3 linked regions of the Cricetulus griseus genome follow. The protein of the gene in region 1 interacts with the protein of each later gene in a pairwise test. Links are inferred from orthologs where the notes say so. Each region holds a gene or a part of one and is shown on either strand. Other genes may lie near its edges.

Region 1 (4,063 bases):
CATAACTACAGGCACTCATGGATCATCAGAACCACAGCAGCTGCTATTCCTAAAGATGAGTCTGAGGCAGAGCAACAGAAGCTGCCACAGTTGCCTTCCAGCACAAGAATCCCCTTTCTCCCCCTGACACTTCAGGACTCATTGCACCAGTTTGATTTGGACCTTTTCTGGCTCCCATGGGAGGGCTCTAGGAGCCCAGGATAGTTAGGGGAGGTGGACTTCAGCTGGTCTACTGCTCTTCATCATCCAGTGTAACAAAGGAGGACTCTGTGGCCCAGTGAGGACACTGATACATAGAGACACTACCCTAAGACACTCTTTCTGCCCTCTCCTTCCTCCTCCACTTCACAGCTCTGCCCCTGCTTCTATCTTTTTTTTTTTTCTGAAAAGTTTTTTCTGTGTAGCCCTGGCTGTCCTGGAACTAACTACTATAGACCAGGCTGGCCTTGAACTCACAGAGACCCACCTGCCTCTGCCTCTGCCTCTGCTGGACTATAGACCAGGCTGGCCTTGAACTCACAGAGACCCACCTGCCTCTGCCTCTGCCTCTGCTGGACTATAGACCAGGCTGGCCTTGAACTCACAGAGACCCACCTGCCTCTGCCTCTGCCTCTGCTGGACTATAGACCAGGCTGGCCTTGAACTCACAGAGACCCACCTGCCTCTGCCTCTGCCTCTGCTGGACTATAGACCAGGCTGGCCTTGAACTCACAGAGACCCACCTGCCTCTGCCTCGGCCTCTGCTGGGTCCCCAGCTCTACTTCTTTTGAGATATTTCTTCCACTTCTTCCCCAACCTCTCTCACATGTCCAGCTTCTGTCCTGTGTCCCTCCATCCTGTTTTCTCCTGTCTTCCATCTTGTTACTCTGTTCCTAGTGCCTTCTCTCTACTTTGCCATCTCTGTCTTTTATCCCTTGCTTTTCCTGTGGCTGAGTTATTCCCTTCCCAAAGGCAGTCTCAGGAATTGACTTGGCTATGGTCCTAGTTCCTGGTGGCTGCACGCCCTCTGCTGGTGCAGGCGAGGTTTAGATGGCGGTCATTCCCCGTAAGCCAGGCAGCCCTCTCTCTAGTCCTGGCATGCTGGTCTGCCTGAAAACCCTCCTATTTGCAGAGGTTACTCCTGAGGCTGATGTGCAAATCTCAGCTTTGAGCAAAGCTGCAGGCCTGCCTGTAAACATCCAGGAGCCTGGAAGACAAGATACTCCAGCAGTGACCCCAACTGACTATCTAGAGGAAAGAGCTTCTTAATCAGAGGCTGGCTTTCCCTTCTAGCTCATCCTCAGGGGATGGAGAGTCAGAAATCAGAGATGAGGTGAGGGGGGAGACCAGGACAGTAGAGGAAGGAGAGAGCTTCTTGGGGAACAGAGTTGCTGAGTCAGGGCAGAGACAAAGATAGGCAGGAAAGAGAACAGGAGTGAGAGACAGAGACAGAGGCTGGCCCACAGAAGACAGTCGGTTAGCCAGCACCTTCCTCCCTGAGCTGATGTGTGCTGGCTCCCACACCTACGTATCTGAATCTGCCCACAAGGCACTGAGCTTCCACAATGAAGCCGGCATTGCTCTGGCTAGCAGCACCAGTCGGCACAGGCTGCCTGCACTTGAGCAGGCCAAGATGGAACAGTGTTAGTGTGAAACATCACATACTAGTTCTCAAAGATGTCGGAAAACAGGAGTAACTCAGCATGTTCTTATGCTGCTTAATGCAGAAAACAGTTTATATGCATACAAAGCTAAATAAAATCAGTTAATACCATTTGCATCACCTGCTTGATTTGGCCTTTAACTTTCTATCTTCTTGCCTCAGCCCCTCAGTTCCAGGACTACAGATATGAGCCCCTTGCCAGCTTTTCTCTTTTAAAAAAATTAAAAGTTATATATGTGAGCTGAGCATGGTGGAGAGCATGCTTGTAATCTCAACACTTGAGAAACAGAGGTAGAGGGGTGAAAAGTTCAAAGCCAGATTTTGTCTCAAAAAACCAAAAACCCAGAGGTCAGCACAGCTGAACATAGCTCAGTGGTGATTGGTTGCCTAGCACACACAAAACCCTGGATTTCACCTCCTGCACTGTAAGACACACACACACACACACACACACACACACACACACACACACACACACACACACACACACACACACACACACACACACACACACACACACACACACACACACACACACACACACACACACACACACACACACACACACACACACACACACACACACACACACACACACACACACACACACACACACACACACACACACACACACACACACACACTGGGAGTAGAATAGGTTTTGAGGAGCCATGCTCCAGGGGAGAGTCTTAGACTAAGTAGGTGACAGACAGATGCCAGTGTTGGGAAGAGAAGTGCAGCAGGAAGAGACGGGGCAGGGAACCTGTTTTACCCCAAGTAAGAGATCTCACTAGCCCACGATCTGAACAGAGGAGGAATTGGTGGGAAGAGGTGGGATGGTGTGGATATTACCATGTGCACAGCCTTCTGTCCCCAATAGCCCTCCAGAGAGGAGCAAATGGGGACAGACACGTGGCAAGCACACAATCGACACTTCTCCCACCATCCTTTGCTTCTGACCACGCTGCCTGGCCACCTCTCCTGCTCCCACACTGGCCCGCAGCTCCCACTTCCTCCTCTTCCAGGCAGACACCTACTTTGTGCAGTGGAACTACTAGCCGGGTCCTCTGGCAGGTCCATGGACCACTCCTGTTTCTCTGTTGCAGCTGGTGAAGCTCTCACCCTTCCTCCACTGATAGGAGGGTTGGGAAAGGAACAGCCTGCCCAGACAGCTCCTAGAAGGACAAGCAAAGTAATGGCTTCCTCAGACTAGCCACCGCTAAACTGCTCCATCTCTGCCCCAGGGTTCTCAGAACCTGTTTGCCATGCCCATCCCAACTCCAACCTGTTGCTATGGATTTGAGGTATGGGATGGGGAGCAGGCGGCAAGATCAAAGCAGGAGACAAGAGGGTGGGGTCAACTGCTGCCCCTAGGGCTTGTGGCCACCTCTCTCCCCTGTAACCTAGCAAGTCATCATGCCTGTCCTAGAGACTCCACTTTGTGCTCCTCTTGCCGTCCTCAATCTTGCCTTGGGTCCTTGTTCTCCCTGGGCCCACGTCCCAGCCTCCTTCCAGGCTCCAGTGCATCCCCACAGGCTGCAGAGCTGATCTGCCTGGCCATGGTTCCCCATCACCTTGAGGCAGAGCCTGCTTTTTTCTGGCAACAGAGGCACAGTGTGGCCTGGGCCAGCTGCTTTCTCTCCAAATCATGCTCTATCTTCTAGCAACTCTAACCCACTACTCCTACTGTGGTCTCTGCCTGGGACTTGCCTTGCCTTTGTGTCTTGTTATCTAGAAACAGCTTTCACTCTGCCTGGGACTGAATACCAAGCTGAACTGGCTCCCACACTGCCTGGAGACTGCCCATTTTATCCCGAATTTGGACTGCTGGCCGTCTGAACCACTTTCAGCCTTGCTCTCCCTGCCTCCACACTCGTTTGTCACTGAGCCACACTGTCAATAATCTTTCACTGGTGGATTCTAGGCAAGTGCTCTCCTGCTGAACCACACACCAGCCCCACTAGTCAATTCCAGATAGACACTTTACTGCCAAGCTACAGCCCAGCCTTTTCATTTTGAGACAAAACGTCCCTAATATGGCCAGCTTGGCCTTGAATTTGTCATCTCTTTGCCTCATCAGGAAGCTGATTCATCAGGACTGCTTTCTTGCCTTTCTCCCCCTTTAGGTTTATTTTTATTTTTTATTCGAGTGTTTTGTCTACATGTGTATGAACCACATGTGTGTCTGATATCTTTGGAGGCCAGAGGGCATCAGATTTCCTAGAACTGGAGTTACAGATGGTTATGAGTTGCCACATGGGTGCTGGGATTTTCAAGAGTACTGTTTCAGCCTTTGTTTTTTAAAACAAAACAAGGTCCCCCTCTGTAGCCCTCACTGGCCTGGAACTTGCCATGAAGACTAGCCCAACTTTGAACTCAGAGATCCACCTGCTTCAGAGTGCTGGATTAAAGACTTGAGCC
Region 2 (4,011 bases), on another chromosome or scaffold:
TCTACCCTGTATAGCCTTATTGCTGAGGGTGAGGGACTCCAGAACACAACTGCACTGGTTTCTAGGTCAAAGTAGTGGTGTCCAGAGAAATTATTTTTCTGCCAATCTCTTTCCTTGTCCCTGATTCCTGAGTTTCTTTCTCACTCATCAGGATGAGCCCCAAGAACCTCAAGAGCCCAACATGGTACCCCCAGAAGACACAGAGACAGATGAACTTTGGGCATCTTTGGAGGCAAATGCCAAGCGGAAGCTCCCTGATTTAAATCAGATACAAGGGACTCTCCAAACAAGAAAAAAAAAGAAGCGGCCTGGATCCTCCAGTCCTTGAAGACTTTTGCTATTTTGTTAATAAACAGCCCAACACACACAGAGACCCTGAACCTTTTGTGATGGGAGAAAGGAGAGGTGGCTTGTGGGTGGGAGGGGTTCCCTCACCCGGGCTGTGGGAGACCTGACGTCACAAAAGCTGGGTCCAGAGCTAAGCAGGCTGGGGAGGGTGGCAGAGTCCTGCGCCTCTCGGGGCCATGGGCTGCTGTCAAGACAAGGACCATCAGACCTCTGATGAGCATGCAAGGGAGGAAGTGACCGACGAAGGTAGGCAAGGTAGGCCCAGATTCAAAAAAGGGTCAGGGAGCTGGATTGGGAATGGGAGTGGGAGGTGCCCAGAATGGACGGCCTAAAGAGACTGGACTAGAGAGGAGAACTGAACTAAGTGGCCTCGTGGCCCTTGCAGACAACGAAGTCAATTTGGACAACGCAGGCCGCCGCAAACAAAGATCTAACGAAAGTCTTCTGATCACCGTGCTGTGGCGCAGGCTATCCATGTTCAGCCGTCGGGGGTCCTCACGGTCAAGCAAGAGGCTCTCAGACCTGACTCAAAAGCAGGAGAGTCAGATCCAGGAGCGCAAACGTGAGGGAAGCCACAAGGAACCAGAAAAGGGCTGACTCCAATCCTGCTCTCGTCCTCCCCAACATCCAGAGAATAAAATTAATATTGTGGATCTGCCGAAAACATGCCTCTGCCTCCACATCTGTAGGCGCCGAGGCGCTGGCTCTTTAAGACTCCTCTGGCCCAGCCCTCTGGGATCTGTTTCTGCTCTTCAGGGGCGGGGCCACAGCGGCAGTTTAACCAATAGGAGAGCGGAGTCGAGCATGCAAGGGCAGAGGTGTGTTCTTCCTGTCTCTGGGCTTAAAAAAATAGGCGTGGCGCGGCATCACGTCACGGGGGTGGGGTTACGTGTGGGTGACGTGGCGGCTCCTGCTCTTTGCTCCGATTTGGGTGGCTTACAAGTCCAGCGAGGAGGCGGCGACGGCCTGGAGAGAGTGGCAGTGGCGGCGGCGGTAGGCAACAGAGGAGGTAGGGCTTCGTTGGGGTAGGGGGCCAGTTTCTGTCGGTCGTCTCAGCTCGGGGGCAGCGGCTTGACGGTGGGGGAGGGGGGAGAAGGGAGCCATGGGCAAGCCCTGCTGGCGGCTCCGCGTAAGCGAATACCTTGCTGTCCAATCAGGAAAGGCCTTGTTGAGAAAGACGCCGGCCCTGTCCAATCAGTGGCTGCAGTCTTCCAACAGGCGGAACTTTGATGGAGGTGGGACTTCCTGTTTCAAATAAACACTTAAAGAGGTTTTCCCCCCCTCCGCCCACCGAAGTGTGTCCACCTTTGGAGGTCGGTTGCCGTTTTTCCGTGAGGGAGTTAAGGAAGTCACGTATACCAGAGGGCACGATTAAGATCTGGGCCAACTGCAAAGGTCTGGCTGGAGGCTCAGGGCCGCAGGACCAGGCTTTGGCTGTTTTCTCGACTTTAGGGCCCCAGCCGGTGCTTTGGCCGTCAGAGCCAAGTTGGAAGGAGATTCTGAGGAGGCTTCGCCTTGGGCCTGGAGGAAGCTGACCCTTCTCGCCGTGGCCGGGCTGCAAGATCTACGGGTGGCCTTGGGCTCGAAAGCCTGTCAAATACGGGAAAGGGCCTGAGGATTTGCTAGTTGAGGGGAAAGCTTTGGGGAACGAGGCTGTCTGGAGAATGACATTCTCCTCTCCACAGCAGTCCGAGGTTATGCGACTCGATGATCCCGCGGAAACGCTACGGATCTAAGAACACAGATCAGGGTGTCTACCTGGGTCTCTCAAAGACACAGGTTCTGTCCCCTGCAACTGCTGTCAGTAGCAGCAGCGACATCACTCCTTTGCCCACCCCGGTGGCCCTGGTCCCTTCCCCTCCCGACACCATGTCCTGCCGGGATCGGACCCAGGAGTTCCTGTCTGCCTGTAAGTCGCTGCAGAGCCGTCAGGTAAGGACCTGGAGTGGAAAGGCAGGTGTGAGCCTAATTAATGCTTACGTTTTGTCTGCTAGTTGTCTAAATTTACTTTACAACAAAGATTAGCGAATCTTACCAATAGGAGTGGAGGAATTGTCTTCAGCAGGGATTAAGAAAAGATTAAATACCACGAACGATGAGTCAAGATTTAAACCTACATATAATTTTTTTTTCTTAGCTATAAACCACTGATAAATTTAGATTGTCTGATGCCAACAGCACTGGAGTGTTTAGTGGATATGTGAGGGAGCAGTGAAAAGCTGAGCATGAATAGTGAAGAGAACTAAAGTATCCACTTTTTGACATTACCTTTCAGAATGGAATCCAAACAAATAAACCAGCTCTACGGGCTGCCAGACAACGCAGTGAATTTACCCTTATGGCCAAGTGAGTTAAGAGAGTCTTTGGGGGGGGGTGGTAATACAATGTCTAGGAAGTTAATTTGCCTGTGTTGGTTAGGCTGAATGGGATTGGTTGTGTTGGAGCTTATGGGAATTAGCCTCTTTCCTGCCCTTTACCACAGCCTTCTCACTGATGATCATTTGCAGGCGCATTGGAAAAGATCTCAGCAATACATTTGCCAAGCTGGAGAAGCTAACAATCTGTGAGTGTTTGGTAGATCTTTCCTAGATGGGACAGTGAAACATAGTACTAGGAAGTGAGGATCGTGCAGTTTTTGTTTTATTTTCTCCTATGGTGCTGGGGATTTTAAACTAGGACTTTGTGCATTAAAGCAAGTGCCTCTACCACTGAACTGTATTCTTAGCCCTTTGAGCCTTGTTATTACCATCACCTGTTGTAACACTTCATCTGTCTCTGCAGTGGCAAAGCGCAAGTCCCTCTTTGATGATAAAGCAGTAGAAATTGAGGAGCTAACATACATCATCAAACAGGTGAGCTGCTAGCCATCAGGAGAGCCCAGCATTCTAATTAGATTACTTCCATCATTTTCCATCGCCATGAATCCCCAGGGTAAGTATCTAGACCCATGTCCAAACACCCTGCTCCTCCACTGAGTCCATAGACACTTAGGATCATCTAGCATTTGTAAAGTACTGTTCTGTATGCTGATGGAACAAATGAGAAGCAAGATTATTGTCTTTAAGGGTTCATTCTTCTTAAGAGTTACCCAGCATCAGGAGCCTAGGCTTAAAATGAGTAAGTGATAGTATAGAAAAGATTTTACAAAAAGATGAATGAAATAGTATGCTGGGAAAGATTGACAGAGGATATGAAATCTGAACTGGATTCGGAGGTTATATAGAGGAAATAGAAGGACTTACCAGTCTGAGGAGTTTATTTACAGAGGTGTTGATTAGAAAAGGGGGAAGGTCAGCTGAGAGTAGTGATGAACACCTTTAATCCCAGCACTCTGGAGGCAAAGGCAGGCAGATCTCTGAGTTCTAGGCCAGCCTGGTCCACAGAGTGAGCTCCAGGACAGCCAGAGTTGTAAGTTTATTCTCTATAATTACCTTACGTTTGTTTGATTTCATTCCCTGTATCCTTTCTACTTTTCTAAAAGAGAAGGAAAAAACAAAGGGGCAGGGCAAAAGATTTGCAGATACCTCAGGAGCAGGTTCTTTGTTTTGGTTTCAAGACTCTAGATATATAGCCCAGTCTGGTATTTTTGTTTAAGTCAGGGTTTCTCTGTATATCCCTGGCTGTTCTGGAACTTGCTGTATAGACTAGGTTAGTCTTGAACTT
Region 3 (4,170 bases), on another chromosome or scaffold:
GTAGTACTCACCTAGACCAGAAGAGGGTGCCAGAGACTCTGGAATTGGAGTTTCAGTGCATGATGAGCTGCCAAGTGGGCCTTAATCCCCAAACCCCAGAGGGTTGAAGAGGGATCAGTGGCTAAGGGTGCTTGTTCTTGCAGAGGACCCAGTTTTGATTCCCAGAGCCCACATGGTAGCTCAGAACAAGAACTCCGGCTTCAGAGGATTCTGCACCCTGTCTGGGCCTCATCTGGTACCAGGCATACATCTGGTATGCAGATATATACACGCCCTGAGTGGTGACAAACACTCTGTGAGTTCAAGGCTGGTCTACATAGAGAATTCCAGGACATAGTGAGACCCTGTCTCAACCAAACAACCTGGATCCTTTGCAAGAAGAGCAGGTGCTTTTAAACACTGGGCCATCTCTCCAGCACCACCTCCCCCCTTTAAAGACACATAGGTCCCACATAGCCTAGTTCGGCCTCTTAACTCCTGACATAACACCTCATGAATTCCTCATCCTCCTGCCTCTACCTTTTGAGTGAGTGACGAGATTACAAACGTTCGCCACCATCTTTGTTCCCAGTTGGCCCTCAAGGCCCCAGGGTCTCAGTTCAGATCCTGCCACTATGGATACATAGCATTGAAATGGGGAAGGCTGCCTCTGTGCTGCCTCAGCCTTTGGGTGACGCCTCTTGCTTGGCACTGCATTTTCAGGAGCATGACATCTTTGCTCTGGACCCTGACCCCAAGGTTGTGTGGAGCTGTAAGAAGTGTAAGGGTGTCTGGTATTGGTGGCGCGCGCCTTTAATCCCAGCACTCGGGAGGCAGAGGCAGCAGAGGATCTCTGTGAGTTCAAGGCCAGACTAGACTACAGAGCGAGTTCAGGACAGCCAGGGCTGTTAACACAGAGAAACACTGTCTTGAAAAGCAAAACAAAATAAAACCAACAAAACAACAACAACAACAAAGTGTTAAGCGCGCATGCAACCAGCCACTGGGCAATTAGTCAAAGATGCCAAGTCTAGATAGACATGCAGTTAAGAACTTAGGGTCTAGAGAGATGGCTCGGTGGTTAAGAGACCAGAAGAGTTTGCATCCCAGCGCTCGCACAGTAGCTAACAACAGTCTATCTTACACCCTCTTCCAGCCTCTCCTGGCACAAGGAACACACGTGGTGCTCATAGTTACAAAACAGACACAACACGCATACACAAAGAAATAACTAATTTTTAAAATGTCTTGTAATCAAGTAAAAGTGCTAACTCTAGGGACTAAATTAATTCCTCAGTCGCCCTACTCCAGGAGCGGTAAGGCTGGCCAGAAAGACCAAGAACGCACGCGCGGAGGAGAAACCACAGAGTCGGTCCTCCCGGGATAGAGAGGCCGGAAGTGCTCGCGGAGCTGCACGCCGGGTGCTGGAAGCCTACTGAGCCCCGAGGAAGGGCTCCGCTCGGGGCTTGGCGTGGTGGGTGAGCCGGAGGGTCGGCGTGAGCGGCCTGGGCTTTGGTTCTGAACGATGGCGTCTCGGGCAGGCCCGCGAGCGGCCGGCACCGACGGCAGCGACTTTCAGCACCGGGAGCGCGTCGCCATGCACTACCAGATGAGGTATGAGGTGAGCCAGGAGCACTGAGGCCTTCCCCGGGAGGAGCCTGCGGGTCTCGGGAAGCGACGCGGGCGAGCCTCACGGTGCCGCTCCCCCAGCCAGCTGTCGCGTACTACCGGGTCCCCGGCTCCGGCGAGCGCCTCGGGTCTGTTTACAGGCCGGGAAGCCCAGTGGCCTGCCCTCGCCCGCCTCGTGCTTTGAGGGGATCTGGCCTGCAGAGGCTCAGGGGTCGATGCTCAGCCCCTCTGAATGACCTTGGAGACATCATTTTTCTTTTTTCAAATCGAGGTCCCGCAGTGTCTAGAGTTCAGGCTGGCCTGGAACTCACGGCCTTCCCTCCTCAGCCTCCCGAGTATGCGCCTGGTCTGAAAACTAACATTCTTAAAGAAAACTGCGTGCGTGTGTGTGTGTGTGTGTGTGTGTGTGTGTGTGTGTGTGTGGTCTGAAAACTAACATTCTTAAAGAAAACTGCGTGTGTGTGTGTGTGTGTGTGTGTGTGTGCGCGCGCGTGTGTTTGTGTGTGTGTAAGTTTGCCCACACGAGAGCAGGTGTGCTGGCAGAATGCAGTGCCAGTAAAGGGTGTGTGTGTGTGTGTGTGTGTGTGTGTGTGTGTGTGTGTGTGTGTGTGTGTGTGTGTGTGTGTGTGTGTGTGCGCGCGCGTGTGTGTTTGTGTGTGTGTAAGTTTGCCCACACGAGAGCAGGTGTGCTGGCAGAATGCAGTGCCAGTAAAGGGTGTGGTGTGTGTGTGTGTGTGTGTGTGTGTGTGCGCGCGCGTGTGTGTTTGTGTGTGTGTAAGTTTGCCCACACGAGAGCAGGTGTGCTGGCAGAATGCAGTGCCAGTAAAGGGTGTTGGATCTCTTGGAGCTATAGTTACAGACGTGTTTAAATCCACCTGAGACTAGTACTGAGGACCAAACCCCGAAGTGATTTTGTGAGATAGCGGCTTGGTATGGGGTCCATGCTAGCCTCCAGGAGCGGCAGGTGCTCTTAACCACTGAGCCATCTCTCCAGTCCCCAGGCTGTCTTGGAACTTGCTCTGTAGACCAGACTAGAAATCAGAGATCTGCCTGCCTCTGCTGCCAAGTGCAAGGATTAAAGGTGTACACCACAGCCGCCCTGTTGACCCTGTCTTTAGGAAGATGTCATGTGTACTTTACAAAGAGTTTTGATGTAGTCATGTCTTAAGCTTTGTTGTCACACAAGATGAAATTAATTACCACCAGGGAATTTTTCATCAAATTGTGCTGTACTTAAATATGCCTAAAGTAAAATACTTGGGGTCAGACTCTTGAAGTTTAAACCAACACCAGGTACTGAGTTGTGTTGAACCCACACAACTACCTTGCCTCCTGCAGATTGTTAACTCTGCTGGCTGTGGTGGTTGAAGAGACCCCCACATTGGCTTAGCTGTTAAGAGCACTTGCTGTTCTTGGAGAGGGTCTAAACTCAGTTCCCAGCACCGACATCAGGAGGCTCACAACCAAACACCTGCAACTCCGGTTCCAGGGGTTCCGATGCCCTCTGGCTTCCCGACAGCACAGGCGTGTGCGTGGTGCACACACATACACATGAGATAAATTTTTAAAAAGAAAGAAAAGCCAATCTGGGTCCTGCCTTCAAGGAGCTTGAGTGCCAGAAGTGATTCTTTTCTCCTTACCTCCCACATTTCCTATAACAAATTAATTTTCCCCTTAAATCCACTGAATTATTCAACTGGTTCTTGGCCTCTTTCTGTACAGAAGGATGACAAGCCCTTTGGACCCTTCTTTTTCAACTTTAGGCCCCTGCCTAATGGATGCTCTTGTTTTCATGCGTACCTAGAGCAGACACCTTGCTTGTGACAATATGAAAAGGATATAATTGAGACCCCGAGAAGATCAGGACTAAGAGATGTGCCTCCTTCTCATGGAAACTATATCTGGAGAAATACAGGGAGCCCAAACTGTGTTCCTTGTTGCTAGGCCTCCCCCTAATGGCCTTTGTTTCTGTGATACGAAGCCATCTTTCTAACCACAGCTCAGAATTCTTGTCATGGCTTGGTGAGATAATGTCTTAGTACGTTGTCCAGGCCAACCTCCAATCAGAGATCCTCTGCCTCAGCCTCCCAGGTGCCATTACTGTTCTTCAGTCTTGAAGTCTACACATGCATGGTCTTTGTAACTGTTACTACCTCTCTGTGCCTTGGCAGTTGATTTCCTGAAACACAAATACTAAAAAGCTTATTCCTTTGTGCCTGCATGTTTTTGCCTCTGCGTAGAAGCCCACTTCCACTCGTCTCATTACCTCTGCTGAAATAGCTCTCTCCTCTAGATATAACCTTCTCTGGCTTTCCATCTCATGCTAATTGGTTCTTCCCTGGGATAGCGGATATCTTCGGTTTATATGTATTTACTTGAGTTTTATACTTCATGTTTCCCAGCCTCTATCAGAGGCTGTGTCATTCAGATTGTATCTATGTGTCCAGTACCGGTGCCTGGTGGTCGGAGCAATTTAAATGAAAATTGCTTCTCCCTCTGCTCTGCCTTACAGTGTGACGCTCAAGAGTGAAATCAAGAAGCTGATCTACGTACATCTGGTCA

What was found. The genes of interacting proteins can lie anywhere in the genome.
Region 2: the proteins of Kash5 (region 1) and Stx5 interact in binary tests that used the Homo sapiens proteins (3 or more experiments, as listed by UniProt). The two-hybrid records come from large-scale screens. The link is inferred for Cricetulus griseus from reciprocal best matches to the Homo sapiens genes KASH5 and STX5.
Region 3: the proteins of Kash5 (region 1) and Jagn1 interact in binary tests that used the Homo sapiens proteins (3 or more experiments, as listed by UniProt). The two-hybrid records come from large-scale screens. The link is inferred for Cricetulus griseus from reciprocal best matches to the Homo sapiens genes KASH5 and JAGN1.

What each region holds. Positions count from the first base shown.
Region 1 is NC_048599.1:154,093,337-154,097,399, forward strand, and holds the start of Kash5 (protein KASH5), read right to left. Parts: upstream 2,801-4,063; 5' UTR 2,723-2,800; coding exon 2,680-2,722; intron 1-2,679. UniProt on the Homo sapiens protein: As a component of the LINC (LInker of Nucleoskeleton and Cytoskeleton) complex, involved in the connection between the nuclear lamina and the cytoskeleton.
Region 2 is NC_048596.1:51,355,579-51,359,589, reverse strand, and holds the start of Stx5 (syntaxin-5), read left to right. Parts: upstream 1-1,211; 5' UTR 1,212-1,357; intron 1,358-1,524; exon of another isoform or gene 1,525-2,033; 5' UTR 2,034-2,055; coding exon 2,056-2,280; intron 2,281-2,623; coding exon 2,624-2,694; intron 2,695-2,855; coding exon 2,856-2,911; intron 2,912-3,129; coding exon 3,130-3,200; intron 3,201-4,011. Other genes in the region: Wdr74 (WD repeat-containing protein 74), read left to right, coding at 152-328; testis-expressed protein 54-like, read left to right, coding at 525-603, 734-945. UniProt on the Homo sapiens protein: Mediates endoplasmic reticulum to Golgi transport.
Region 3 is NC_048601.1:31,352,355-31,356,524, reverse strand, and holds the start of Jagn1 (protein jagunal homolog 1), read left to right. Parts: upstream 1-1,370; 5' UTR 1,371-1,504; coding exon 1,505-1,593; exon of another isoform or gene 1,594-1,595; coding exon of another isoform or gene 1,596-1,600; intron 1,601-4,120; coding exon 4,121-4,170. UniProt on the Homo sapiens protein: Endoplasmic reticulum transmembrane protein involved in vesicle-mediated transport, which is required for neutrophil function.